4 linked regions of the Alligator mississippiensis genome follow. The protein of the gene in region 1 interacts with the protein of each later gene in a pairwise test. Links are inferred from orthologs where the notes say so. Each region holds a gene or a part of one and is shown in the gene's direction. Other genes may lie near its edges.

The links.
Region 2: the proteins of TCAP (region 1) and TTC19 interact in binary tests that used the Homo sapiens proteins (3 or more experiments, as listed by UniProt). The link is inferred for Alligator mississippiensis from reciprocal best matches to the Homo sapiens genes TCAP and TTC19.
Region 3: the proteins of TCAP (region 1) and LAMTOR5 interact in binary tests that used the Homo sapiens proteins (3 or more experiments, as listed by UniProt). The link is inferred for Alligator mississippiensis from reciprocal best matches to the Homo sapiens genes TCAP and LAMTOR5.
Region 4: the proteins of TCAP (region 1) and TRIM55 interact in a two-hybrid assay, tested with the Homo sapiens proteins (2 studies listed by BioGRID and IntAct). The link is inferred for Alligator mississippiensis from reciprocal best matches to the Homo sapiens genes TCAP and TRIM55.

The regions. Positions count from the first base shown.
Region 1 is NC_081827.1:165,413,162-165,420,120, reverse strand, and holds TCAP (telethonin), read left to right. Parts: upstream 1-4,219; 5' UTR 4,220-4,290; coding exon 4,291-4,439; intron 4,440-5,034; coding exon 5,035-5,455; 3' UTR 5,456-6,453; downstream 6,454-6,959. Other genes in the region: melanoregulin, read left to right, coding at 263-502. UniProt on the Homo sapiens protein: Muscle assembly regulating factor. Mediates the antiparallel assembly of titin (TTN) molecules at the sarcomeric Z-disk.
Region 2 is NC_081837.1:2,085,439-2,092,541, forward strand, and holds the start of TTC19 (tetratricopeptide repeat protein 19, mitochondrial), read left to right. Parts: upstream 1-4,098; 5' UTR 4,099-4,229; coding exon 4,230-4,659; intron 4,660-4,763; coding exon 4,764-4,846; intron 4,847-4,955; coding exon 4,956-5,066; intron 5,067-5,148; coding exon 5,149-5,187; intron 5,188-5,312; coding exon 5,313-5,369; intron 5,370-5,683; coding exon 5,684-5,745; intron 5,746-6,329; coding exon 6,330-6,424; intron 6,425-6,617; coding exon 6,618-6,772; intron 6,773-7,035; coding exon 7,036-7,103. UniProt on the Homo sapiens protein: Required for the preservation of the structural and functional integrity of mitochondrial respiratory complex III by allowing the physiological turnover of the Rieske protein UQCRFS1.
Region 3 is NC_081837.1:34,933,774-34,940,934, reverse strand, and holds LAMTOR5 (ragulator complex protein LAMTOR5), read left to right. Parts: upstream 1-4,887; 5' UTR 4,888-4,958; coding exon 4,959-4,993; intron 4,994-5,075; coding exon 5,076-5,137; intron 5,138-5,563; coding exon 5,564-5,681; intron 5,682-6,448; coding exon 6,449-6,509; 3' UTR 6,510-6,643; downstream 6,644-7,161. UniProt on the Homo sapiens protein: As part of the Ragulator complex it is involved in amino acid sensing and activation of mTORC1, a signaling complex promoting cell growth in response to growth factors, energy levels, and amino acids.
Region 4 is NC_081826.1:64,419,738-64,426,662, reverse strand, and holds the start of TRIM55 (tripartite motif-containing protein 55), read left to right. Parts: upstream 1-3,907; 5' UTR 3,908-4,099; coding exon 4,100-4,267; intron 4,268-5,164; coding exon 5,165-5,337; intron 5,338-6,925. UniProt on the Homo sapiens protein: E3 ubiquitin ligase that plays an important role in regulating cardiac development and contractility, muscle growth, metabolism, and fiber-type differentiation.

The DNA.
Region 1 (6,959 bases):
TGGCTGATGCTTCCACCCCCCCTGCCCTGACTCTTGGGGGAGCTGGGACCACCCTGTCTTCACTGCCGTCCCTGCTCTAAATCCCCTTGGGGGTGCAGGGGGATCCCGAGTCATCACTGTGGGCAGCCTGGCTGGGCCCATACAGCCAGCCCTGCCCGCCACCAGCTCCCGTTAGATCTTGGCCCCCCTGTTGCCTGGGCTCCACAGTGCCCTGCAGCCCCTGCTCTGACCTCTGCCACCCTCGCTGTGTTGCCCTCTCCAGGACCGGCTCATTGTCCTCGACGTCGGTGATGACTTTCTCTCTGCGGCCCGGCGCTATTACCCACTGGAGGAAGACAAGGCCCCCCACAGTGAGGAGGAGCCCCTCAGTGAGGAGGCCATCTTGGTGACGCTAAGCCCAGGGCCTGAGCTGCCCAAGGAGGTGGAGGAGGAAGAAGAGGAGGAGGAGGAGATGGCTGAGGAGGTGGATGAAGACACCCTGCTGGCCAAGCTGATGGAGTGAGGCCTGTGTGTGGGCAGCAGTGGGCATTATGGCTGAGGCTGAGAGCTGTCACCTCAGCTCCTACTGTGGCAGGGTGCCTGGCAAGGAGTGGTGAGCGCCCCTCCAGCTGCAAAGGGGCCAGATGGCAGCTCAGACCCTCTCCTGCCCTCTCCCCATGCACAGATTCCCCCCGCACAATGATCCCCCCTCCCAGCCCTGCAGATCCCAATTTTGTGGTTGTCAGTCAGCAGGTGCTGGGGGGGAGGGAGGGAAGAGCATGACCACCTTGCACTTTCCCATCCTGCTAAATTGGAGAGTGGGAGAGCTCCTTGGAAACTGGGAGGTGGTTGCCCAGGGTGCTTGTTGGTTGGAGAAGGTTAGGATCTCCCCACCCAGCCTTCCTCCAGCACAGCCAAACCCGTCAAAAAATTCAGTGCAACAGGTTCACTCCTGGCCCCTGCTAGCACTGAAATGCAGCTACTTCTGGGGTGGAATGAGCCAGCTGGCTGTCAATAGCTGTTTTGGAAGTGAAGAACATCTTAGCCAGGGTGCAGCAGTGACCGGATAAAAGCTTTGAACCTTCCTTTCTTGTTGGTGTTGATTCTTTGGGTTATCAGCAGTCAGCAGCCCCAGTCCAAGCCAAAACGGCCTGTAGTGACTTGTACTGGTGTTACTGGGAGCAGAGGTGGAGACTCTGCTCTTATATGGGAGAGGTCGTTCTGCCAGTGACCTGCAGCTTGCAGGAGGCCTTGCCCCATTCCTGAAGCATAATGATAGGTGTTACCTGCAAGGGACAGTCACACCCATGAAGTAGGATAGGTGACTGCAGCTGGACTAAGGGCTGGTACATGTATTGAACTGGACAAGGTGGAGGCAGGCACTGTTCTATTAAGCTACCTAAAGTGGTAAGGTTTGCTGGTTCCCCAGGTCTGCTGTTCACACCAGGAAAATAATCCCTGGGGGTTTTATTCCTGAGTTTTTCATCATTTCTCCAGGGGAACTCATGGCTTTTTTAGATGCCAAATCAATCACCTGTCCCTACCTCTACCTCTACCATGACAGTCCTTTCCCAGCCGCCTTCTCTTGCCCTCCACCCATCTGCCCCAACTCTGCCATTTCTTACTAAGGCAGCTCCTTGAATCTTCTGGCCCTGGTTTGTGTCCTTCCCCACCAAAGTTATGCCAAGGCTGTTCTGGGTTCAGTCCGCCTCCCAGCTCAGTCCATGCCCTTTCCGGCCGACCCAGGTGTCTGCCTACTCTCCTCTTCTGGGGCTATAGAGCTTTGCAGTACAGCCGTCCTGCCTCTGATACCCCCTTTGCTATATTTCCCACACCTGTTGTATCTTGTCAGTAAACCTCAGCTGTGAGGGTTCAAAGAGGGTATTGGAGCCATCCACTGCCCATGTGCATAAAGAGCCTGGAAAAAGCTCGCCTTCCTACCCCCCATCCCTTCACATTTCCTCTCACTGGAGCCCAACAGGGATTAGCCACAGAAAAGGCCCAGGAGCAAATGGAACCAGAGGGGCAGCCAGAGCTGGCAGCAACGCTATAGGCTGGCATCAGTTGATGTCTCCGAACCAGGGGATTTAGATGGGCTCAGTTCTAATCAGCCTGCCCCCTCTCCGTACACTCCACCCCCCACCCCACTCATCTTGGCTCCAGGGACCTGTTAGCAGTTAACAAGTCTCTAAATCAGTTTGTTTACTGTCCCCTCATCTCCCTCGATTGCTGCCAATGCAACTAGAGTTTCAAAGCAAAAGACTCCCTTACTAGGCTGTGGCTGGATTGCGCGGGGGATTGGGGGGGCATTCTACACAGCTCTGCTATAGGTCTCTGTGATGAGGGCAGTGTGTGTTGGGGGGGCATTGCCTGCTTGGTTTAGCAGCAATGGGGGGGGGGGGGGGGTCCTCTATTTTGGCAAGGGAAGGGGGGACACTATCTGGAAGGCAGCCAGTTGAGATCACAAACAGCAGCTTGCCCCCCCTGGCCTGAGAAAAGTCATTCATGCTGTGGGCAAGAGCCTCGGGAAGCAGGCTGGGCCGCAGCCCTTGGGCCACAAAGCAGCTGTGAGATCAGGAGGAGGTGGAGGGGGCAGATGAGGCCAGGCTGGGCACCAACCACTTGGCAAAGGGGTCCTTCCTGAGGGCACTGGGAATTGAGAAGAGGCAGAGTCTGCTCAGCTGGGTGCTTATCATGTTCCCCAGCCCTGTGGTCAATGTGACACTGTGCCTGACCCAGCTCAGCTACAGATGGCCCTCAGCTCCAGTCCGGTCCTGCTTAACAAGGTGCATTAGCTGGCCTGTCCTTGCCACAACCCCTCTGGCTCCTAGTTCCACCCCCACCCCCCGCATGTCAGAGCTGGGCACGGGGCTCTTCATGTAGTGGCCAGGAGCTGAATGGCCCCTGTGAGTATGAGCCCAGGTGCTGCTCCATCCAGCTGCTGAGCTGTGGGACTTTTACTTGGCTCAGCACCATGGAGCTCAGCTCTCAATGCCCTTGCTTCTTATTAACAGCAGGGACAGGCTGGGGGAATGTGGAGGATGCATGAACTGAGATCCCACCATGCCAGCACCCTGCCAGCCTGTCCCAGTTCCACCTCTCCCTCCACAGGCAGGTGCACATGGTCATGTGTGTGCTTACGGGCAGGGTTTACCTTATGGCAGTAGGTTCTGCATGGGCCCCACTCTTGACCAGAAAGCCTAGGGCTGAAATGGATGGCTGCCAGTTGCACTGCTGATGTGCTCAGCATTGTTCCCTGGGGACCTCTGAGGGAAGAGCCTGGAATTGAGGTGGCAGCTGCCTCTGCACAGGGGATGGGATGTAATTTAGCACCACTTTGTAGGGAAAGGGCCAGCCAGTGGCCTTGTTATATAATCAGGCTTTCAGGCAGGTCTTGGAATTCTTTTACCCCATGAATGGAAAATCAGCTGATGGGCTGGGCCAGTCAGTGGGTGCATTTCCATAGGGATCAGCCTGCAGTCCATGGGATCAAAGGGGATTTTGGAAGCACAAGTGCAGCAACAGCTGCCCTGCACCCTCCAGCATTCATTCACATGCACTGCTTTCACACTGTCCTCCCAACCTTGGTTGGGGTTTGGACATGGCAGCCTGATGGCTTTGACCTGTGAGGGGAGTGACAGGGGCAGACAGGGTTACGGGGATCAAGCATCTTCTCCTGACAAACATTGTTTGCACTCCCATTTTGGTGTTGAGGGAGGAGCTGGGATCTGCCCCATGGATGGCCTGTGCCAGGGCAGTGGAAAGCAGAAATCCTGGGCAGCTAGGGCAACACTGGGCCTGGGAGTGAGTGGGGTCTGGGCCTGGGGTCAAGCAGGGCTGTTAACAGAATGGCTGGTGTTCTGGGCTAACCCAGGTGTTCCTGATGGATGGCATCAAGGGGTCAGTGAGTGCCAGGCAGTGAGGACATCCCTGGTCCATGCTCCAGCCCTGCTGGAGGGAAGGGACCCATGTGGGACTGCTGTCTACCCCAACTCATGGGATAGGAGAGGTGCAGAGAAAATGTCTAGGAGCAGGAACTTGCTGGAATCTTCCCACAGACCAGTGTGACACACACACAGCCACATGCACACACACACACACATATGCAGGCATGCATCATCACACATTTCCCCCAAGCACCTGCTCGTGCCAAGGGGGCCTTGGCTTCAGTCCATGCAACATGTACATGCTGTGCCAGTGACACCTCCTGAAATAGCAGTGGGGAGGCTATATATGCCCAGCCTGGGCAGCCAAATCCCACAGGCTGAGGCACACACACACCTGCCAGAGGAGCCGGCTCTGGACACAGCCATGTTTGGCAAGAGCGTGGTGCTGCGTAGTGCAGGGCTGCTGTCGGCAGCTGAGCTGGGCTGCCTGGTGCAGGAGGAGGACATGGGACGGAAGGAGTCCTTCCAGGCCGAGTGGAAGGACCTGTCGCTCTCCACCAGGCCCGAAGAGGGGTGAGTGATGATGATGAAGCAGGCTCCCCAGGTTTGGGGGGTGGGCACCAGCATTGCTGCAGCCCCTTCTTGGCCAAAGGCATCTTGCCAACAGGGCTGAAGGGAAGCCTGGGACCCTTTGTGGAAATGGGGCCAAGGGTCCTGGAGCAATGTGTGGCCCTGCCTCAGCCCCTCCAAGGTGCCCAGATAGTCACAGGCAGAGGGTCATGGCCCCTGGGCAGAGCAGTGCCCAGTGCTCAGCATCTCCCCCAGCCCATCCCCCTGTGTCTGCCTCTTTCCCCTTGTTCCTTGGCAGGCCTTTGGCCTCTCCCCACTCCAGGAGGTGCACCACCTCCCAAGTGGGAGGGGGAATGGGGAGGGTCATATCCAGTTTGGCCCCATCTCCCTGCCCCAGCACAGCTCTGCCACCTGCTCAGCTGGGGGCAGAAAGGATCTAAGTGTCTGCTCCTTCCCTGGCACTGACAGTCACCACTTTGGGTCCTGGGACTTGTCTGGGCTCCCTGGCTTGGGGAAGTGTGTGTGTGTGGGGGGGGGGGGGGGGGCATGCCCCGCTGGGCTGTGCCCACAGCTCCCTAATGCTGCCCCCTCCCCTCAGCTGCTCCCGGCAGGAGGTGGATGACCAGCACAAGGAGACATTCTGGCAGCAGCAGGAGACGCGCATCGTGGTGCAGCGGTCACCTTGGCAGGTGCTACGGCTGGGCCGCCTGGGTGAACCCCTGGCCCAGTACCACCTGCCATCCCAGCAGGTCCTGCCCCTGCCCATCTTCATGCCAACAGACCTGAGTGCCAAGGCCGAGCGGATGGCCACCCCTCCCCAGCTGCATGATATGCTGGACTTCGAGGCGGCGCTGGCCAGGGGTACCCAGGCCAATGGGCTTTGCCCAGACAAGACGGCCGTGGCCGAGATCACCAAGGAGCTGCCTCCTGTCATCCCACCCAGCCGGCCCAGCTTTGGCAAGGGTGGCCTGCCCCGCTCCCTGTCCCGCTCCCTGTCCCAGGAGGCCCAAAGGGGCTGAGGATCTGGTACATAGACTTTCCTTTAGGGCTCTGTTTTCCCAGTTTATGGCTCCCTCTGCATGAGAAATTCCCACACGCCCTAGTGTGCTGGGACACATGGTTATTAGACAGGCCCGTTGTGGGGCAAATCCATCCCTAGTGTGAGCTCAGTGAGGCTATGCCATGGCTGCATTAGGCTTGTTGAGTTAGACTGTATGCTCTTTGGGGCAGGGACCATGCCAAGTTTGTCTGACACCTTGCATGCCAATGATTGCTCATATAATCAGGCTGTCTCTTTAAAGACTGTCTTCCTGGAGGGGTTGTCAATCAGCTGTCACAATGGCTGATAGATTTAGCTTCATGGAGCAGGGGACCTTTCCAAGAGACATTACTGCTCTTGGGCCCCCAGCTAGGTGAGGGCTAGTGTTTGGAGCAGTTGATTGCAAGCCTGGACAGTGAGAGGAGTGTGTGTTGGTATCTGGAGCCGGGGGAAGCTGGGAATTGGGACCCTTGGGTTCTAGTCTCAGCCTGGTGAAGGCAATACAGGCTAATGGCTAGAGCAGGTGCCTGAGTCAGAAGAGAGTGAGTGGCTGTTGGGAAGGGTGTGCTGTCCAGTAGTTGGAGAGGCTGATAGGACTCCTTTTCCCTGCTGTGCTCCTGACCTGCTGTGTCACTAGGATCACCTTCCCCTTCCTAAACTGGAGCCTTTCTTTTGGATGGAGTGAATTCCCCTGGGCAGAACAGAGGCTGCTTTTACTGCCGTAGGGTGGGGTAGCTAAGGGTACTGGAGGAGGTCAAAGGGTTCAGAGGTAGGGGTGAGCTGGGATACAGGGCTCACTGCAGCACTAAGGAGAGAGGCTCCAGAGGGCAGAAAGTGAGTGAGCTTGGTGCTCCTTCCAGCAGCTTTTGATTCTGGGGAGGAACCTGCTGCACATGTCTCTGTTGTTCATTGTTTTCCCCTGTTTCCATCCAGGATCACATTCTATGAGTCTCATTGAATAATAAAATAAGAAAAGGCTGAGTGAGTCCTTCTGTTTCACTGTGGGACCTGCTCTGGGTTGGGGACACACCCCAGAAGGATCAAAACCCAGGCAGGCCAGGCAAACACTTCCAGCAACTGGCCCCTTTGCCACTGGGACTTCATGCACAGAGGCAGGACATGGGTGTCTTAGGAGTGGGGAACCCAGAACTTCCCCTGGGGAACCTGACCCCCTCCCCCTTAGCTGAACAGCAGCAAATGTTGAGACTCTGCCACCTCCTTCCTGCCACTGGGGGGAGGAATCAGCAAGGTGGACTCTGAGTAGTTCCTTGGTGTGTCTTGCTTGTGTTTACTATATGGACCATCCTAGTCTCAGCATACAAGCCAGCCACTGGGCCAGCAGTCTTAGCCTACACACACACCTGGCTTCCAGGGAGAAACTCAACCCCTAGAACTGACTTCACTCAGAGATGAAGGAAGAAAGCAAACTCCCACTGCTGGCTACAGCACCCCACTGGGGGATGTGCATCACAGACTGACAACCC
Region 2 (7,103 bases), on another chromosome or scaffold:
AGGCGAGGCGGGGGCGGGGTGCGGAGGCCGGACAAGAGAAGGAAACCCTTGTCCGGGCTGGGCTGGAGCTGGGGGTCCTTCCAGCCCCGCACACAACTGTCTCCCCAGGGCAGACACAGCGGAGCCGGTGAGCGCGGGGCGGCCGCCTGCCCCGGGACCCCTCTTGTTGCCCCCAGCCGGGCCCGGGCCCGGGTGCACGCAGGCGGCGCTGGTCCTTGCTCCAGGTTTTAGCAGCAGGAGCCGCCTGGGTCCCCGAGCGGGAGACAAGAAGGGCCCTGCCCGGGCAGGGAGGGGAGGGGAGGGGAGGCGAGCCCACCCGTGCGGGGAAGCCCCCCGCAGCAGCCGACCCAGACGTGCAGAGGCCGTGCCCCAGCGGGGTCAAAGCAGGCCGTGCGGCCCCACAGCCTGTGCCGCTGCCCCCGGGGCCCTGTGGGGGGGCTGGCTGCCCCGGGGCTCCCTTGTGAGGTGCTCAGTGCCAGGTGGAGGCGGCGGGTCAAGGGGCCAGGAGGAGGGGGGTTGCCAGAGCTGGGTGGTGGCGCACGGTGGTGGAGCGCTACCTTGGGGTTGTGGGTTCGAGTCCGGATGCGGGCACCTTGACTCTTTTAAGGCCTGGGGCGGCCGCCTGGTGCCTATTTGCTTGCGGGGCAGGCGGCGAGGCGAGTGAAGAGACCAGCGGGAAGGGGGGCTGTCAGGTTGGCCCTTTGGCAGGGTGGTTCAGGACACTGTCAGCGGTGGCAGGGGCTGCGGGTTCAAGTCCCTGAAGGCTTGAGTCCCCTGGCCGCCATCTACTACGCAACCGTTTCCCCCTCCGGCGCTTGCCTACTAGCTGGAGCTCAGGGGTGATCGCGGTTGCCAGTCGGAGGGGACTTGAATTCGCAGCTCAGTTGGAAAATGTCCTGAACCACCCGGTGGCTCGCCGGGTTTTTTTTTGCCTTGGTTTTGGGGCTGGGCTTCAAAGTGCAAAAAAAAACCCCTCTCCTCAACCACAGGTTCATTTCAGCTTCTCTGCCAGACCCCCTCCCCCCCACAGACCTCCCCACAACCCAGCACAGCCTCCTTGCAGGCACCTGGCCACAGGCACCAGGGGACTCACTGAGAGGCGAGGGGCCCCGAGAGCTCCAGCCAGGGCAGGGATTGAACCCAGCACCTTTGCCACCTAGGGTGGCACCCTTACCACCAGACTACTGGGGAAGGCTGAGAGCTATTCCGGCCGTGGGCCCCTTGAGGCGCAGCGCCCGGGCCCCGCCACTGGAAGAGAAAGGCACCTCCCTGCAAAACAGGGAGAGGCCGGGACCTGAACCCAGGACCTCAGCACCCACACTGAGAGGCCCAGCGCTGTGCACCACAGGACCAGGCTGGGGAGCCCTTCACGTCCGGGCCCCTTGACTCTTTCCCTGCGGACACGCGCTGGGCCCACTACAAAGGGAGCCCCGGGAAGGCGGCGGGCCCGGCCTGGCTTGTGACCTGGGGGTCAAGGCCCCGTCCTTTACAGGCAGGGCCCGTGGGTTTGATGCTGCACAGGGCCGGCATCCTCTGGGCCCAGCTCTCACTCTTGCTTCCCCCAGCGGTGCTTGCCCAGCCGCTGCAGGCCAAGGGCCATCATATTTGCCAAGCCGGAGAAGACTTGCTTGTTCATACTCCAGTCTGGAGACCTCGGACTCTGTTTACGGCCCTGGGAGCTGTTGGGATAAAGCAAGGCCGTGCAGCATGTGCCCCTGACCTGTGCGGACAGGTCTTCTCCGGCTGCTCAGCAGGGACCGCCGCGGGGTCCCAGCTCCCCGGCGAGCATGGCTAAGGGGGTGCAGAGAAGGGGGGGCTCAGAGGCCTCCAGCCACAAGGGAATCCGGACCCCCTGCCCCTGCTTCGCAGCACTGTGCCCCGGCCCCCCGGCTCTCGGGAAGACCTCTGCTGGCAGCCATCAGTGGCCCTGCAGAGCACGGCTATGTGGGGACCGAGGGAAGGCTGTCTGCCCAAAGACCGTCCCCAGGGCCTGGCTCAGACCGAGGTCGAGCTGCGGAGCTGCCACCGGGGCCCCAAAAGGCAAAGGGCCCTGAGCCGGGCGGCCACTGGGCAAAACGCAGACCAGCACCCCAGGGGTTGCAGCCCTTGGGGGGTGGGGGGAAGCACCTCTGGTGTCCTGGGAGAGGGGTGCCAGCGCCGCGCCTGCGAGCCCGCTCACTGCCCCAAGGAGCTTGTGCTGGGCGAAGGCGCAGGAGCGGCGCGAGGGGCCGGCCAGCGGCCCCCGCTGTGGGACACCCTCCTGCGCCCTGCACTGGGGCAGAGCCTTGCGCCAGCTGGGGCACGCCTGAGCCCGGGGGAGCGGCGCTCCCCGTCCGGTGGTGGCCACGAGCTCCTCGGCCCTCCTGGCAGGCCCAGGCCGGTGCTGGACCACGACCCGCCTGCAGCCCCCTCCTCCAGCCCCATGCGAGGCAGGAGCCTGCTGTCCTGGGCCTGGCCCCTCCGCCTGCCCCGACAGCCCGGGACTCCTGCCGGCAGCCGGGCCCTCCCTCTCAGGCGGGGGGGACGGGGACCCCCGGACCCGTGGCGCGCTGCACCCCGCCAGCTCCGGGGGTGCTTGCCCCGGGCAGAGGCAGGGCTTGCCGGGCTCGGCTCCGCTCGGTGAGGGGAGCTCCCTGCCCTGCCCGGCCCGGCCCAGCCTGCACCCCGGGGCGGCAGCACCCCACTCCACGCTGGGCCGAGCTGCGGTGCAGTGCTCCCCACCCGGGGGTGGCCACGAGCTCCTCGGCCCTCCTGGCAGGCCCTACCCGGTGCTGGACCACGGCCCCCCGCCGGGCGCGGGCTGGAGGCAGACCCACCTGCAGCCCCCTCCTCCAGCCCCGTCTGAGGCAGGAGCCTGCTGTCCTGGGCCTGGCCCCTCCGCCCCAAGGAGCCCTGCCCCCGCCCGCCCCGACAGCCCGGGACTCCGGCCGGCAGCCAAGCCCACAAGCTCCTCGGCCCTCCTGGCAGGCCCTGCGCGGTGCTGGACCACGACTCCCCCCCAGGCGCGGGCTGGAGGCAGACCCGCCTGCAGCACCCCTCTCTGCCAGGAGGAGCCTGCCTGCTGCAGGCAGCAGCTCTCTCCCAATGCCTTTTCCCCCCCGCAGCCCTGTAATGCAATCTGCACAACACGCCTGGGGGTGCACACGGGGAAGTGACTCCGAGTTGGGCCCAGTTGCCTGAGCAGTCAGAAGCACAACAAGGAACAGCCGGTGTCTTTTGGCCTGGCTGCTCCGAAAGACAAACCAGAGCTATGAGCCTTTCCCCGGGGAGCAGAGAGAATGAATCCGAGTTATTTCAGGACGCTGCGCGTTTGCCCAGGGGACGACAAAAGGGGGCTTATAATAGTTGCAGCAGAGCCTGGGACCGTGACCTTGTGCACGCTGACGTGACCGCACTGCGCTCTGGCACCCTACAGCCGGGCACCAGAACGTCCTTGAATCAAGCTGGAGCAATGCATGCTGGGACATGAGGGCGCCTTCAAGGGGTGCAAAGCATGCTGGGACATGCTGCCTCTATGACACTGCGCCAGACCCCAGGACATCTCCAAAAGGGCACAGAGCAGGCCGCACCAGCCGTCCTGTGCAAGCAGTGCATGCTGGGATATGCCCCCCTGTGCGCGCGCGCGCGCACACACACACACACACACACACACACACACACGTGTGCACGCAGAGGTTCAGCCTTGTCCCTGGGCCTCCAATGCATGCTGGGAAGCACTCTCCTCAGGGGTACAGACAGCCGACCGGATTGCGTCCGCAATGCATGCTGGGAACTGCCACCCTCATGGGCATGCACAAATGCTGGACAGGGCACTGTGCTGGCCCCGCAATGCATGCTGGGAAACGACTCCTGCACCACCCCCAGCAACCCCACGGCATGCTGAGAAATGCTACCTTCCAGGGGCCAGAGCTCACACTAGCGCAACATTTTCCTACAGTGCATGCTGGGAAATGCATTGGGCGTGCAATGCCGGCTGGGAAACAGGCGCAGCACGCTGGACTGGTCTTAGCCCTGGGCCCGCAATGGATGCTGGGAAATGGGAGCCTAGCCCCCCCCCCGCGTCATCCGCGCGCCGGACCCGCCATCTTGCTCACGCTGCAATGCATGCTGGGATATGCTCCCCGCTCCACAGAGGGGCTCAGCCGTTCCCTTAGGCCTGCAATGCATGCTGGGAAAGGGCAGCTCCACCCCGCCCTCAACAGCCGTCCCGCCATCTTGCGCGGCCCGCCATGCATGCAGGGAAGCACCAGCCCGCCCGCCCGCCCCCGGGCCGCAATGCATGCAGGGAAGCGCCCCTCCCCTGGGCCCGCAAGGCACGCCGGGATAGCGCCGCGGCGTACTTACCGTCTGGCGGGGCTGCAGCCGCCGGCTCAGCCCGCTGCATCCCGCCGGCCCGGCACCATAGCAACCGCCCGCGTCACCCCGGGGGGGGGCACTTCCGCCTCCACCGCGCCGGAGGTGACGTGCGCCGTCACGTGCTCCCGCTGTTAAAGGGGCAGCGCGGGGCGATGCTGGCGGCACTGCCCCGGGCCCTGGCGCGGCTCGCGGCGGCCGCCGGGCGGCGCTGTCCCCGCGCGGGCGCCGCCGTCACCTGGGCCGCGGGCCGGGGCCGGGGGGCGCGGCGGGGGGCGCCGGGCCTGGGCCTGGGTCTGCTGGCCGGTGAGCGCGGCGGGGGCACGGGGAGGGCAGGGGGCGGCGGGGGGTACAGGGGTGGGAATGGGGGGCCTGGCACTGCTCCGTGTCCAGCGCACGCCTCCCTGCAGCGTTCCCCCTGTTCTCGGAGGACGCCGGCGAGGCGGGCGCAGGGGCCGAGGACGCTGTGATAATCCTGCTGAAGGAAGCCAAGGTGGGAAGCGGGGGCGGGGCGGGGCGGGCGGGCGCCCTGGGGCTGGGGCAGGTGCAGGTGGTGGGGACGAGGCCGCGCGAGCTGCCGCGGTGCCGGTGTGCGTTCGCAGCTGCGCGTGGCGGCGGGCGACCTGGAGGAGGCGGAGCGGCTCCTGCACCGCGCGGCGCACCTGGCCCAGCAGTCGGAGCACAGGCAGGCCGTCGTCTACACCTACGCCATGGTACCGTACCCCCCCCCCCCGCTCGCTGCAGGGGCGCCCGCGGCACGGGGCGGCTCTCAGCGCCCGTCTGCCTCTCTCCTAGATGGCGAATCTGGCGCTGCTGCAGGGGCAGCTGGACAGCGTGAGTGAAGCCCTCCGGGGCGGGAGTGCAAAACGAGTCCGTGCGGGGACCGGAGACTTCAGCACCCCTCCCCACCCCGACGAGCCCAGAGCTGGCTCCTCACCGCGCACCTCCTCTCGTTGCAGGCGGAGAAACTCTTCAAAGCAGTGATAAGCCTCTTGCTGGCTGGGGACACTAAGCAGGTGAGTCCCCTGCCGCCCGCCGCACGGTTTCCTGCTCCGTATAGGGACATGGCTACCGCCCCCATCCCTACCTCTCTTGGGGCAGACAAACCTGCAGCCTCTTCCGCAGCCCGTGGACTGGTCCCTCTCCCTGTAGAGCCTGCAAGCTGCCTGTGCTGGGCCCGCAGCAACCTCCGCCCCCGCTCCAGCAGTGTCCACTGCCGGAAGCTGTGCCCCTGCCTCGTGCAGGACGCGACCTTGGCCTATGCCCTATAGGCGTGATCCCGAACGCCCTGGCTGCCGTGTCCATGCCCCTCTGGCTTCTCCCCTGGCAGGATGACAACGCGATCATCGAGATGTCGCTCAAGCTGGCCAGTATCTACGCTGCTCAGAACCAGTGAGTACGCGCCCCGGGCTGCAGCCTGCCCTATTCAGGGGCTCCGAGGCGTCCGTGATGGTTTGGGTCCAGGGAGAGTCTGGCCCCTGGGAAGGAGGTTGCTGCTGGCACAGCTCAGGGGGAAGCTTCAACTCTGGCTTCAGAGGCCGTGATGGCCTCGGTCTCATGACAGCAGGCTGGGCCTCTCTCTGGCTGCTGGGCCTGGGCAGCAGGCCAGCCCCAACTGCAGTCACCGGAGGAGGAGTCCCTGCAGAAGGTGACTTCAAAGAGACTAACGCACTGAATGTGCGCAGGCCAGAGGGACTTGGGTTTTAGCAGTTAGGATCGGAGCCAAGCAGTAGAGCACACCTGCCCTGCAACGCTATCTCCAGGGGTCCTGGAGCCCTTCACCAATTAGCTGAGCTGACCCAGAGCTGGTGCGCGGTGTTAGGGGCTGAAGCTGGGAGCAGGTGCTGTTTGCCCAGAGCCGTGACGCCTTTCTGGGGTCTCAGTGGGGGCGGGGATGAGATTGGGACGTGCTGCTCCGAGTGGGGGGTGGACTTGCTTTGCCAAAGGCTGACTTTTTTCCCCCCTCTGCTATGCAGAGACCAGCAGGCTATCACAGGCTACAAGTTCTGCATCCTGACCCTGGAGGAGAAAACAGCCACGCAGAAGGACTTGCCTGAAGACGTCCTCCCTGGTAGGCAGCTCCTAGGTGCTCGCTGTGGCCAGCGTGGTGCTGTGCCTGCCATGCACTTCCTTGCCTAATGCCTTCCAGCCACTGCCTGCCTTGGTGCCCAGACCCCCTCCCACTCTTGGCTGACAAGTCTTGTACTCAGTATTTCCCTGGGAGCAAGGGGCAGTACCTCAACTCATCTCTGTTCCGCTTGCAGCAAAGGAAAAAGCCAACACCCGCCTCCTGCTTGGATTATGCCTGGACTCCTACGGCCGCTACCTCCTCACCCGCAACCAGCCAGCTGTGGCCCAAATAATGTATGAGAAAGCCCTGCAGATCTCCAGGGACATCCAGGGAGAGACCCATCCACAGGTTAGCTGGGACCAACGGCTGCGATCAAGGGACGTGTGCTCACAACGGGATTGCCTTGGAGCTGGGCCTGCTCCCCTTGGGGCCGGGTTCCAGGATCAGGCTCTGCTCAGGCAGCCGAAGCCTGAGCATGAAAATGGTCCATGTGGGCGAGCCAGCACTGTTGTCATCTTGCAGAGGAGTCTGTCACTCTTGCCACAAGGGCAAATGCTCTGTGCCACTGTTCTGTTCCCTGCACTAATGCTTTCCTTGCTGTCTTGGTGCAGACGCTGATCCTGATGAGCGACTTGGCGACCGCGCTGGATGTGCAGGGACGCTATGACGAAGCATACAC
Region 3 (7,161 bases), on another chromosome or scaffold:
AGAGGTAAAAAAGCAGGTTAAGGCAAGGGAGTAGCTAATGTCCTGCCACTACACAGGTGCATGCTCATGAGATCCTAGGAAAAGCAGCATGGCCCATACCTGGAGAAGGCAAAACCCACAGAGTCCATGCCTGTAATGCGTGTGTCTTTGTGGTCAGGATGGAGTGCTTGTGTATGCAGCAAATGCCTGTAACATGTAGATGGGTGCACATCTGTGTGTGGGCAGGATGAGGTGTATGGCGTATGCAGTGTGAGGACCTGTCATGTGCAGACGTGTGTGTCTGTGAGATGAGGATGGAGTGTGTGTGTGTTTGTGTCGTGTATGGCATGTGAGTGCATGTTGTGTGCAAGTGTGCATGCCTGCGAGGTAAGGATGGAGTGTGTGTGTGTATGCACGTGTGTGTTGTGTAAAGAATGAGGGCACCTGTTGTAAGCAAGTATGTGCGCCTGTGAGATGAGGATAGTGTGTGTGTGTGTGTGGAATGTGGGTGCCTGTCATGTACAGGTGTGTGCATCTGTGAAGTGAAGCTGGAGCATGCCCACATGTGTGTACTGTAAGTGCCTGTGGTGTGCTGGTGTGTGTGTCTGTGAGATGAGGATAGAGTGTTTGTGTGTGGGGGTTTGTGCATGCGTGCATTGTGTATGGCGTATGAGCACCTGTTGTGCGCAGGTGTGTAGGTCTGTGAGGCAATGATGGAGTAGGTGCGTGCAGTGAGTCCTTGCTGTGTACAAGCATGTGCACCAAGGGATCCTGGGGGCTCAGGGACCCATTCTGCGTGGTCAGGCATGCCATGTGCCCTGCTGCAGCTCTCTGGCGTGATGGAGGACCTTTGTCTCTGTTTCATATCTCCGCATCCACAGAATGACAAACTTCCCTCTCTCCAGGTAATTCACTCTGCCTCCCAATCAGGCCCTGTGCTGCTCTGACAGATGGGATTATACTCAGCTCGCCTCCCTGCTGGCAGTGCGAAATATCAAGAGGGACATTAGTCTCCTTGCTTCTGACTTTCTCATCAGGGAGCGAGTGCTGATGCCCCAGAATTGATGTCCCATTTGATTTAATATACAGGACCTGACATGCAATTCAAATTGTTACATAGGGAACCTGGGACTGACCAGCTGGGGCTGTGCAGGGGGCGTGGAAGAAGGGTGCTGGAGTGTCACATCCTTCATCTCACCAAGGGAGAGGGTAGTATCCCTTTCAAAGCACTGGGACCTCTCTGCTGGGCCCAGGGTCTGCATGATAAGATGTTGCCCAAATCCAGGCCACACTGGCTTTTCCCTGGATTTGACCATATTACTTCTGTCTTTGGATTCAAGGCCCTGGTTTCTTGCCCAAAGGGGGAATCAAACACTTCACGTCCTGCCTCTTCCCTGCCTTCTCCCCCCACATCCTTTAATGCTTGTAACCAACTACCTGCTGCAAGAGGAGGCCAAACCTCACTGTGCTCTGGTGTGCCTGTCATCTATGCAGGAAGAGACAGGTTGCAGCCAGGTCTCTGCCTCTTGTCCATTAATCTCAAAGCACTTTACAAGGTCAATTAGCCATGCTTCTTTCAGAGCTGGGGGGAAACTGAGGCATGGAGGGGTAAAACAGCAGATTTAATGCTACATGGTAAATCAGCAGCAGAGCCTGGAATAAGCTCTGAGTCTAGAGCCAGTCATAATAATAAAGACACCTTGCTCTCGCAGGGGACTTTCCTCCCATAGATTTCAAGGCATTTTACAAAAGAGATGGCCATCATTATCCTCACTTTACAGATGGGGAAAGCACAGGGCAGAAGTAACTGGCTCTGATGACCCAACACACCCTGTTCTGGAACAGGGAGGAGAACCCAAGAGTTCGGATGCACAATCCCCTCGACGAACCACTCAAATCAGCAGGCCTGCATTAGTTTTGTGCACTGAGAAATAATTCAGCATAAAGGGGGTGAGTTAGCTGCCTCGGGTGATGAAAATAGTGTGGCCTCGGCAGCATGGAGCTCAGCAGAGACTAGCTGCCTGAGTATTTACCCAGGATCCTGAATGAATCTCTGCTGTTCTGCTGTGAGTAACCTGTTAGCAGCACCCTGACCAGCTAGGTAAAAGCTAGTTCAGATATGTGTATGTGTACTGTATATATATATATATACACATATATGTATACACACACACACACACACACACACACACATATATATATATATATATATATATATATATATATATATATACACATACACATCTGCTCATGTATGTATGTGAGCTACAGTCACCCCTTGACTCCAATGTAGATATACCCTGAATGGCCTTCCAGATGCGGGCACTTGAAGCAGTGCAGGGGGGGATGTGGCCCATCGATTTGAACAGGCTTCACATGGAGCGAGATGCTGTGCTGGGCGAGTAAGAGTTACAGCAGGGGTGGGCAAAATGTGGCCTGGGGGCCGGATGCAGCCTGCCAGGCCATTCTATCCAACCCGCGGGGCCCCTAAAAAAATTTAGAAAATTAATATTAATCTGCCCTGGGCTGTCATGTGGCCCTCGATGGCTTGCCAAAACTCAGTAAGCGGCCCTCTGCCCAAGATAATTGCCTGCCCCTGAGTTGCAGGGAAGCATGCGAGGAAGCCCTTGTGGCTCATCTGCATCTTTCAGGAGCTGAAGCCTCTATAAGCACAAGCAACAGCACCAACCTAATAACCCTGAATATGATTTATTTAGCCACCCACCGAAAGGTTTCTGAAAAGGATAGAGTGTGTGTGTGTGTGTGTGTTCCTGTTCATGTCCATGCTCGGGAGACCTAACAAGTCATGGCAATTCATCACGCATGAGTTTTTCATGCGAACCTGTTGGGGGGTTTCTTTAACACACCTCATTCCAAGCCTTCACATATGTATTATTAGCAGAACAACAAGCAGCAAGGGTCTCAGTTCGGATCTACACCTGTACAGCTTCAGGTCTGCTTAGCACTGCAGCTATTCAAAGCCACGTTGCGTAGGGAGCGTGAAATGATCACACCTCTTAGGTGACAGTTATGCTGGCAACTTCCCCGGCAGCTACGTAAAGCTATGTCAGCAGGAAGGATGTAATGCAATAAAGCACCTAAGCCCAGCTCTATAGATTCTGGATCTGATTCACCATCACCACATAACTCGCGTCATCAACGCCAGCAAACGTAAAACATGACCTTGCAGCATTTTACGCCCACCTTACAGCAGTGTCACTGAGTGATGACACAGTATGTAGGATAACAGAGGATTGGCATGGGGGAGAGACTCAGAAGGCACATCCCTCATCTCATCTTTTTCTGCTGAGGGATCTCAGAGTCCAGTCATTTCTGAGCTACTTCTGGCTGGCTGAGGGCTTAGATGGCTTGCCCTGCAAACAGCACACATGTGCTACTCCCTTCTGGAGCAGCCATGAATCTGCGCATGGCGTGGAAACTGCTCTTAGCTTGGACATGCTTGTGTTGGTGCTGCCCACTGCCAGCCTGCTGTGCTTGGAAAGGTCTTCATGGACTGGATTTCTCTGGGTGCACACTTCCAGCCACAGGAGCACTGGTGTTTGGGCTGAAAGTCAGGCTGGGCTGCGCACTGGATATGATCGCCTACATGCCAGCTGTGGATATTGTGCAAATGATGCACAATGTGCTGGTGCAGGATGTGGATTTAGTGCCCTCCAGTGGGGAATACAGGAAGGGCCACAGCCACGTCCCTTCTGTACTGTGCCTATTCCTCTGTCACACAGCTAATTAAAAAGTAGACAGTAACAAATAGCTGCCATGTCCTGGGGAGACGACTTACATGGGATCTAAAGGGGAGTTGGGTGGGGATGTAAAGGTGGCACTGGCAGCTTGGACAACGGCGGTTGCTTTTCCAGGGCCAAGCAAGTGTTCAGAGCCACTGCTGCAGAGGAAAGCAAAGCACTCATGTGTTATTCCCTGGTGCAAAGCAGTGACCAGGAGAAAGAAAACTTCCTGTTGTCTAACACAGTCCCCTGCCCCCCCTCCCCCCATTGCAGTACAGCAGCTTATCCTAGGATGCAGAACAAGGACTCAAGGAAGTGAGGAGTCACGGCTCTGATTCAGCTGTGAATCAAGGCCACAGCCTGGGCGGCAACCTGGGTGCAGTTTGATGGCCCTGCATAGGCACCAACTTTGGGTTTTGCCGGTGGACGCTTGCAGCCATAGCAAAACAAAATGGTAATTCACTTTAAACTCGGCGCGTTCCTGTGCTGAGCCCAGAAGAGGCAACGCAGCATTACTTCAACCCGGCTCTGCAACATCGATGAAGACTGGGCACTTTAGTGGCGCTTTTTGTATCTAATAGCTGATTGAATTGGCTTTAGCTACAAGTGTCAAAACGCCCTGCTGAAGCGCTCAGTCTTTACTGATGCTGCAGAGCCGGGTTGAAGTAACATGCTACCTCTTTCGGTAAAGCGTGGGGGGCTGGGGTCCTTTTTAACATCGGCAAGCAGGAAATGGCTGTGGCTCTTGGGTGCTGAGCACCCACTCATATTTTTCAGTGGGTGCTTTTGCCCCAGAGCACCCACGGAGTCGGCGCCTACACAGGCTTCGCCCCTGGATGAAGGCAGCCAGGCCGCGCGGAGCTTTTGGGCTCCTCTTCCTCAGAGCGGGGTCAGCTGCTCCCCGCCCCCAGCTCCCCAACCCTGGCACCCCCAGCCCTGGAGGGGAGGCGCAGCTCTCTGGACTCAGTACACCTCTCAGTGCACCCCTCACTGGATTCACTGCACCCCTCACTGGTCTGCCTCAATGCACCCTCATTCGACTCCATGCACGTCCGCTGGACTCCATTTCCCACGCTCCAGCCTCAGTTCCAGCAGCACGGCTGGCAAATCCCGCCCTCTACACCTTTCGCGTTACGGGGAATCTTGAGGCTCCGCAGCACCCGTCCGGCAGCTCCAGCGCTTATCACGTGACGGGCGGCAGCTGAGCGGGGCGGAAGTGACCGAGCCTGTGGCGCCATGGAGGGGGCCCTGGAGCAGCACCTGGAGGACACGTGCGTGCGGGGCCGGGGCCGGGGCCGGGGGCGAGGCGGGTCGGGGCCGGGCGAGTGACCGAGCTGTGGCTTTGCCCCGCAGGATGAAGAACCCGTCCGTCGTGGGCGTGCTGTGCACGGACTCGCAAGGGCTGAACCTGGGCTGTGAGTACCCCCCCCCCCCCGTTTCCATAAGGCGCCTGGCTCGTGCCAGGGGGCAGATGCTTGCCCTGCCCGCCAGCCCCGTGCTGGGCAGGGAAACCCCGCCCCAGACCCAGCACCAGCCCCGCGGGCTCGCTCCGTTTGGCATCCTGCTTCTAGCCCGAGCACCTGCATCTCCCAGGAGATCTGACCCTACTAAAGCACAAGTATCTTCAGACCCAACTCAGGTGGGGGAGGGGGAGCGTGGGCGCGTTGGCCAGCACTTCTTTAAGCAGCTCTCAGATCATTTTGGGTGTCCTTGAGATGTTGCGGAAGACGGCCGAGTTCGGGAAGACATTCGGCTGAAGTACAAAGCAGGTGTGATTGGCGATTGCTGTCGAGACACTTGTTTTGGTGAACTTGGATACAGATCTCTCTCGTGCCCTGCAGGTCGCGGGACGCTTTCTGATGAACACGCAGGGGTGATCTCAGTTCTGGCTCAGCAGGCAGCCAAGTTAACTTCAGACCCCACTGATATCCCTGTGGTGTGTCTGGAATCGGATCATGGGTGAGTGTCTGGGTGTCCATCCTTGTTGCTGTTTTTTTTTTATTTTTCCTCCTTGGTTTGCTCGAACGCTTCTGGGACTGGGATCTTAGAACTGCCTCCTTCATCTCCAGGTGGCTTTTAAGTTTTGTGTGTCGCCGCTTGGAAGGAGGTACAGGGCGAGAGGCACCTCCTGCAGGGCCTGCGCCAAGGGAACATCGAGAGACTGTTCCTGTCCTTTCTCTTGAGTTTATCCAGGGATTGTTTGTTAGGAATTGGGGGGGGGGGGGGGGGTCTCAAATGAGCATCTTCTGAGACTGCGAGAGACCCATGTGTCCTTACAATCACTGGATGCTCATTTGAGATGCACCCCCCATTCCTGTTTCTAACTGTACTGCTGGCTTTTTGGAAGTGGTTAGAATGACCAGCTAGTGTCACTTTTGCATTGTATTTATGACTACCGAAGCAATGCTATGGTGCTTATGTTCCTGTTTATAATCAATTTTTACAAAGGAAGTTAGGTAGACAGACTTGCCTTCACAGCCCACCTAAACACTCCAAGGTACTTCCAAACTTTGAATTGCAAGGAGACTCTTGGAAATGTTATGTATCCTACAATGATGTAATTAGTAAAGATGGCAAGCCAAGTATTTCTTTCATTAGATCTTATGTGTAATCTTGCCTCTGACACGCCACGGCATATGCTAAACCTAAAGGCATTTCTAGCACTGGTTTTGAGATGAGCTACTAGTCTTGGAAAATTCTAACTGTTTAAATATTTGCTGTTTCAGGAACATCATGATCAAGAAGCACGATGGCATCACTGTAGCAGTGCACAAACTGGCATCTTGACCTTTCACCAGTCTGCTTGGTTGTTTCGACACCCTTGCAACAACTTCTGCTTGTTGGACTCCTACCTCCCTCTGTAATATAGCATGTGCTTGTAAAACTACACGTGGGCCAACTATTAAATGCTTGGTAACTTTCCTGTGTGTTTAGACTGCTACTGTATATCGGTCAGCATCTTTAATTTCCAGCACATTACAGGACATGTACTGTCAAGTGTAAAATGAGGTTTCACTTATTTTGCTTCTGTAATGAAAAGGTATAGTATGTGGCCTTACATCATTTATTCATTTATCCAATGAGTGAGAACACATGCAGTGAGTTCAACACTTCAGTTGGTAGGTGAAGTGGAAGTACACCACTATCTAACACTTTAGAGAAAGACAGAAGCTTAGGAGTCACTATTCCTTCCTTTCAGGGAAGGTTACTTCCTGCTTATTAGCAGTCCCTCAACTTTTTGGGAAGATAAGTTCTGTTTTCTGTACCTTAGGGGGTGGCGGGGAAATCAAACTCATTCAGGCTGCCTTTTGACACCAAAGTCAAAAAAGCACATGCCCCATTCTTCAAGTCCCTTTACAGGAAACCTTTAATCTTGTCTAGTTAAAGGCAGACAGCTTTGTTGTATTGGAAACATCTTGGATTAAAGTTTAACTTTAGT
Region 4 (6,925 bases), on another chromosome or scaffold:
GGAATTAAAAGCTATGTCAACAAAGCAAGCATATCTGTTACACTGCAAAACAGGGCTTCTTCAGTAATTTTCAGTATGAGTCAGCAACACAGATGACATTCCTTGGGTAACGGCAGGTATATGATTATATAAGGTATAATGGCATGTATATGATTAAGTTATCACTGTCCCTCCAAAATAACACCAATGTATTATGTATTTATTTGTTTCCTGCACTAGTGCCTCAAGCTCCAGTCACGATGGGATCTGAGTGATGCTTGGTAGTTAAATGCACGATGCATCTGCACGTGCTGATTTAAGGCACATTAGCCATGTTTAAGGAGCATTAGGCAAATGTACATTAAGTTTAGGCATGTGTAAAAGGTAGGCCATTCCACCATGACAACAAGTGGTCTCCCCTCACTATTGTGAGGGTCAGGCAGGGGAATGGGTTTCCTCTGGGAACCAGTGAGAACCCAGGAAGGACAGAAAGGCTCAAACCTCCCTCTCGGTATTGGTTCTTCTATTCAAGCTGATGAGGCAGGCACTAGCAAGGAGCAGAGGCATGACAGGGCAGCTCCGCACCCTGAGCAGCTGCAATGCATAGAGCAGCACCTGCTGCAGTAGTTCCAATGGTGGTGGCACAGTCAGCCATTGCAGGAGTGGTGGCTATTTTTGCACTCCCCACAAAGTCCGCTCCCAGGGCTGCAGGCCTGGTCACCCTTCTCAGTTACGCTACTAGCAGGGAGAGAGATGGATTGCAGGACCATCAGTTAATGCTGCAGAAGTCTGGCTCTTCCTCTTCTCCTCCCATTTGCTGCTGGAGGAAGAAGATAGTTGTGTGGACTAGGTGGTGCATCCTTCATGTGCTCCTTGGGAGGAAAGACTCTTGCAACATTTACCACAACCCTAGCACCAGTGGGCACATGTACAGTGGGAAGGCTTCCTGAGACCACATCTCCTATGTCATCATCAGCCATGTCATTCAGGGATGTGAACAGAAGATTGTGATCCCTGACTGACTTATAGCTATCACAAGTTCCTAGTGTAGATGAAGCTACATTGGCAAAACCTCAGCTTTACTGGGATGGCTGGTTTGTCCCAAATGGAAAAAAGTCATTTTACTAAACTAGTGGTACAAAGCTCAGCTGGTGAATATAAGCTGTGTCTACAATAGGAATGTTTTGCTGTTGTCATATCCCAGAATTCCTCTAGTAGCATAGTTCTCCTGGGATGGATGTAGCCTGGATATTTTAATAAGCAGGGCTGGCCCTGGTAAATAGTCACAGCCTATACTGCAAAGATGTTGCTACTATACCTATTGCTGTACACAGCTTTACTCCCAGATGGGATAAGCTATGCTGACAAAAGAACTGTGTCAGCTAAGGGTGTGGTTTTTCACACTCCAAACAAATGTAATGATGCCAGCAAGACTATGTAATGTAGACCCTGGCTATAGGCACAGGTTTCTGCCATCTTTTATCTATTACTACATAACTGATTTTTGTCATAAGTCCAGCACTGTGCACAGAGCCAGCCTGCCAATCTTAGGGAGGAGAAACTGCTAGAGAATCCTGTGGAAATATGCACTCTGAACTAAATGCATTTCACCTAAAGATATGCAGAAGGGTCATCCTTGGATTCCTGGTGCAGAAATGGAGTCAGTCCATTTCCTTAATCATTGACCTCTTGGCTGAAATTCTCGTTAACAACGTGAAAGGGATACTGTCCAGAACCTCAACCACATAGTTACATTTCTACTAGAAGAATTCCATACTCATATTCTTCACTGGTAACCTATAGCTTACTGCTACTATAAATATTTTCACTTCGTTATACTGACATTCAAGCAAATTCTGGTTATACTCACTGGTTCATAAATCTCCACCATTTAGTAGCCCCGTCATTTCGGCTAGCTTGCTCCCATTCAGTGGTGTATAGACATTTCAATACATTGACACTTCTGTTCTTCAACTTTCTTTCTCAGATGTTTCCCATTCTCTGCCTTATTTTATAGAGAGGAAGTACATGCCTAGTCATCTCAGTAGAGCAAAAGCCATTTTCTTTCACTCTCTGGTTTAAAGCTAGCTTGCAGTGCAAGGGTGGGACATGGAAGAGAAGGCAATTGAAGTCTGTCAGGGGAGGAAATAGGGAGTTCACATTCCTCAGTGCATTAAAGTCATTACTGCCCCTGTCCACAAATGAAAAAGAAAGAAGAGATGCATCTCCCCTATTGCCAAAAAAAGATTCTCTTCAGCTCCTCCTCCTCTTTGAGCCAGAAATCTCAGCTGTTCCCTGTTCAGCTGCCCAAACAGCTTCCCCTTTACAACATCTGAGGTCTTGTCTACATGAGAAACTTACCCACTTTCACTCAAAATCTGGTTTTAAACTGATGTGGTTAAACTGTGCAAATTTCACACATGCACAAGACCTTTGCCAGATGTATACATCTGGGGTGAGAAATCCTGTCCTCACGGATTTCAGTGGGATGAGGATTTCACCCATGCAGTGAAAAAATATGCAGCGCACTGAAAATCAAGAGCAGACTAAATTTAATGTGAGTCAATTATATTGCATTCAAAGTGTATTATTCATTTTCATATGAAAGTCAGTAATAACCATCTTTTAATCCCTGTAATCCGCTGCCAAATTTCTAAATTGGTGCTTCCTACAAACCAGAGGACCTTGCTATTGAATTTAGATCCATCTTTCCCCAAAGCACATGCAGTGTTTGTTAATGATACTTGTTTTGCACTTATCTATCCAAAACACTTTTCAAGCATTAACTACTGTAAACACAAGGGCCTTCCCTTCTGCAAGGTACATTACTGGTAAATTATTCTATATTGCACTAATTACTTTTATAGTCAAATAAAACTGATGATTATATATTACATGTACAGTATGAAGCAGACAGTAAGCAACTGCTTACTGTATGTGTGGGGGTTTGAGTTTAAATTTGTGGACAGGATATTTATTGCTTGTACAGTTGTGTGCTAAATTATTGGCAAATAGAAGCACAGATGGCTTTGCCCTAAGATCAGGCAGCACATGCCAGAAATTATCTGGGAAATTGTCATTTTAAAAATAACTTTAGAACAAGTGCCAAGTTCTGAGAGATCTCTGTGTCGAATAAACAGATATAAACACAACACTGTCCAAAGCTAAAATATATTTGGATTATACCATGGAAAGCAGGAACAATTAACATTTATTCTCTGCCAGTAAAAATGAAATCTTTCCATATTTCTTTTGTGTGCTTTTAATCAGGAAATAGAATCCATGCTACATTTTTGTGCATTCTTTAACTGCTTTGGAAAAAATGGACCAAATACTCATGCTCCAGTTTCCTAAAATTCAGTTGCAAGTTAAAGCACAATTCTAGTCAAGTGATTTTTAATTAGTTCTTTAAAGTTTTATGTTTAGGTTCTGATTTTTTTCTGAAGGGAAGTACATCTTCATCTCACTGATTTCTCTTGTTCTAAAAGTCAGACTTTTTTAGTTTATTAACATGTACAAGTAAAGATATTGTAAAAAATCTACAGTTAGGTAAATTTGCAGTGTGTTCAGTTTATACTGTTCATTACTTTCTAGTAACTGAGCAATGATTGTTACAGTATATTGCTACTCCTGATGGCATTCTTTTCTTTTAATAGGAAGCAGTATTTTGTTATTTGGGCCATACAATTTCACTGCCATGGAGAGATAAGAACAAACTAGATGACATTTTACCATACCGTTTAAAACTTGTCCTTTGCTAAGGGGTGGGCTAGGGCTGCCATGTGTCAGTGACAAGCCTCAGCTCCTCTCTCACCTCCCTCCACCTCCTTCTCTTTCTGAGACAGGAATGTTGATCTCTCATCCCTGTTATCTGTCACCTGTCTGAATCTGTCCTCATGTCACTTGCTTATATGGACAAGTTAGAATGGCAACTTCTGACGCTGTGCTGCTAAAAACAGCCTCAGCTCCCGTCAGCCTATCTTTTAAACAATATCCTCCAGCAAGAGAAACTCAAACAACATTTGATCACACGAGCCTTGGAATTATTTCAAGGGAACTAACCCGGAAACTGACCAGTAGCCCCCTTATTCTGAACTTATGCACCTTGGAATAGCTAGGGATGAGCACCTCTTTGAATTACAAGTCCTTTTCCAAAGAGCAGCAAACCATGGATAACCTGGAGAAACAGCTTATTTGCCCCATCTGTTTAGAGATGTTTTCTAAGCCTGTGGTCATCCTTCCCTGTCAGCATAACCTGTGTAGAAAATGCGCCAGCGATATTTTCCAGGTAGGTTCATTTCAGCATAAAGATCTGCCAGCCTAAGTTCAAATAGCACTTGCTCAAGGTAAAGAGAAGAGCAACATTTTACAAGATTGGCTTATTTACTGTTAATGATTGGCAAGCGTTTAAAAAGGCATAAGTAAAAGCAGAACATAGAAAACTTCTTTGATGTGTGGCTTCCTTTGCATAGAGACCTCTGTGGTTTGGACTATATAAATTGTTATATGATTTTCTTACATACAGTGATCACAGAGCCATGGCAACTGTTCTGATCTGGCCCATTGTCTTTTGAATTTTGTTGGGTTCCTGACATTTATTTACTTATACTAAATTCATTTTCAGCATTTACATACATTTAATTATGAATTGGTTTGTTTAACTATTATCTTTTTGCTATCTTTGTATCTCCAGGCAGATTGCTACAGTATTATTAGTCAGTAGGCACCAAGTGAAATAACATTACCATACATATTTCTTTTGGGTTTTTTAGCCAAAAATCCCCAGTTAGGTTAGTAAAGAATTATTGGGCCTAATCCAAAATTTGTTGGAATCATGGGATTCTTTTCATTGACCTCACTGGTTTTGGACTAGGCGTTAAATAGGGGGCTTCAGTAGCATAAGAGGGTGGGGGGGGACTGAGGTAGCTGCTCTGAGCACTGCCTTGGAGGGACAGCAGTGCAAAAATAGTCATGCTACAACATCAGCTGAACACCCCACCACCACTGGAATGGTGGTGCTGCCCTGTGCTTTGTGGCTGTCACAGATGTGTTACTACATCTCTGGGTGGCTGGATGTATGTCTTGTGTTCTGAACATTAAGGCTATTACCAGAACAATTGCAGAGTGTTTTAAGAAGGTGTGCATGGCCTTATTCACCTATAATTTTATTGCTTGGCAAGAACAGGCCTCCAATCCATACCTCACAACCAGAGGAGGCACCACAGTGGCTTCAGGTGGTCGATTTCGATGTCCCTCATGTAGACATGAAGTAGTTCTGGACAGACATGGTGTGTATGGACTTCAAAGGAACCTTCTGGTGGAAAATATCATTGACATTTATAAGCAGGAGTCTACCAGGTAACATACTCATTTGTATCCTTAGCAGAATGCTGACAGTACAAGCTGACGAAGCTTATGATTGTGGAAGGTTCTCCCTTCCTTTCTTGCCTTTGTTTTATAAGTTGTTGGATATATTTAGTTATTTTAGCTTTTGGAGATGGTAGAGTTATCCTGTTGCGAAAATGACATATCATACGTGCTTCTGTGTTTACTGTAGAATAAAGTCAACTCTTATTTATTTTATATCACTTGACCAAAAGCAGTGTTCAAGTAGGTGTTGAGCTTTTGCTTCTAGTGCTTATTCATATAAGTAATACTTAGTCATGGACACAGAGTTCTGGAAGTCAATCTGATTAATCATATGAATTAGGACAGAAGGATCTGGTCCATAACTTTATCTTATAAACTTTTCAAACCCATATGTTCCACAGCTTGTCTTCAGGCATGTACTCCTATGTTAATAAAATGTTGGCACTTGCTGGAAAGCCCTGAGGGACAATTGAAGCAAAAACAAATACATCTGAATTATATTCGGAAGCCAGCTCGCATCATAATAAATTGAATCATCAATATTTAAAAAAAGCATGCCTGTCAGCATAGGATGTGAACTCATGAAATCAAGTCTTATTTAGGACTCACTTTCTGTATAGAAGAGACTGAAAATGCCAAAAATAACAGTTCATGACAATGCTGTGTAGCTATGTATGGGAAAGCCAAAATTCTAGAGGAGAAGAATGGGTTAACCCTAACAAGTGAGATTAATCGTAAATTACAGTCACTCACGGCATATATACATACATGAGTAATCTACAGGATAATATCATTGTTATTTTTGTTATCAAATGATAGGTTGGGAGGGTGCTGATACTTAATGGATTGCAGAGCTCAGAGCTTAGGAAAGAAAATCTAAATAGTGGACCTGATCCTGTAACTTGTGCCAATCACATAATCCTTCCTTACAGAAGCAGTTCCACTGACTTCATTACAAGTGAGGGCTTGTTTATAGCAGTGGTTCTCAACCTCGTTAGACTCAAGGCACCCCTCAAAAAAAGCCAGCCTTGTTTTCACTGTTTGTTTTTTTTATTACAGAAAAATAATAAGGCAACTCTTTTGTTGCAAACAACTCAGAAAGGCCACAAAAGGCCAGAATGTTTTTGATACTATAGGTTCCTATTTGAAATCTCTGGGTTTATCTTGTGAATCATGTGTAGATGCTTGTGTATTGTGCGGCACCCTTAGGCACCCTTTAAAGGATGTCACAACACCCCTGCTGCCAAATCCCTAGGGTGCTATGGTACCCTTGTTGGGAATCACTGTTTTACAGGAACGGTTCTATGTTGAATATCACTTTTAGAAGCAGGTCGACAAGACATTGAGGCCTCTTGCTACCAGTCATCTTACAAATTGTTTTGTCAGGCAGGAACTCTCAGCTAGACCACAAAGAATACTAGCTAAGGATACCACACACCCAGCAGGTTAGTCGAATCTTTGTCAGATATGTATGAGACATGCAAAATGGACACTGCCCCTTGGCCAGAAAACAAAAGAACAAAGGAACCCACAGTTGCAGGGAGTCCTCTCTCTTTAGCACAAAAGGACTCTCTTC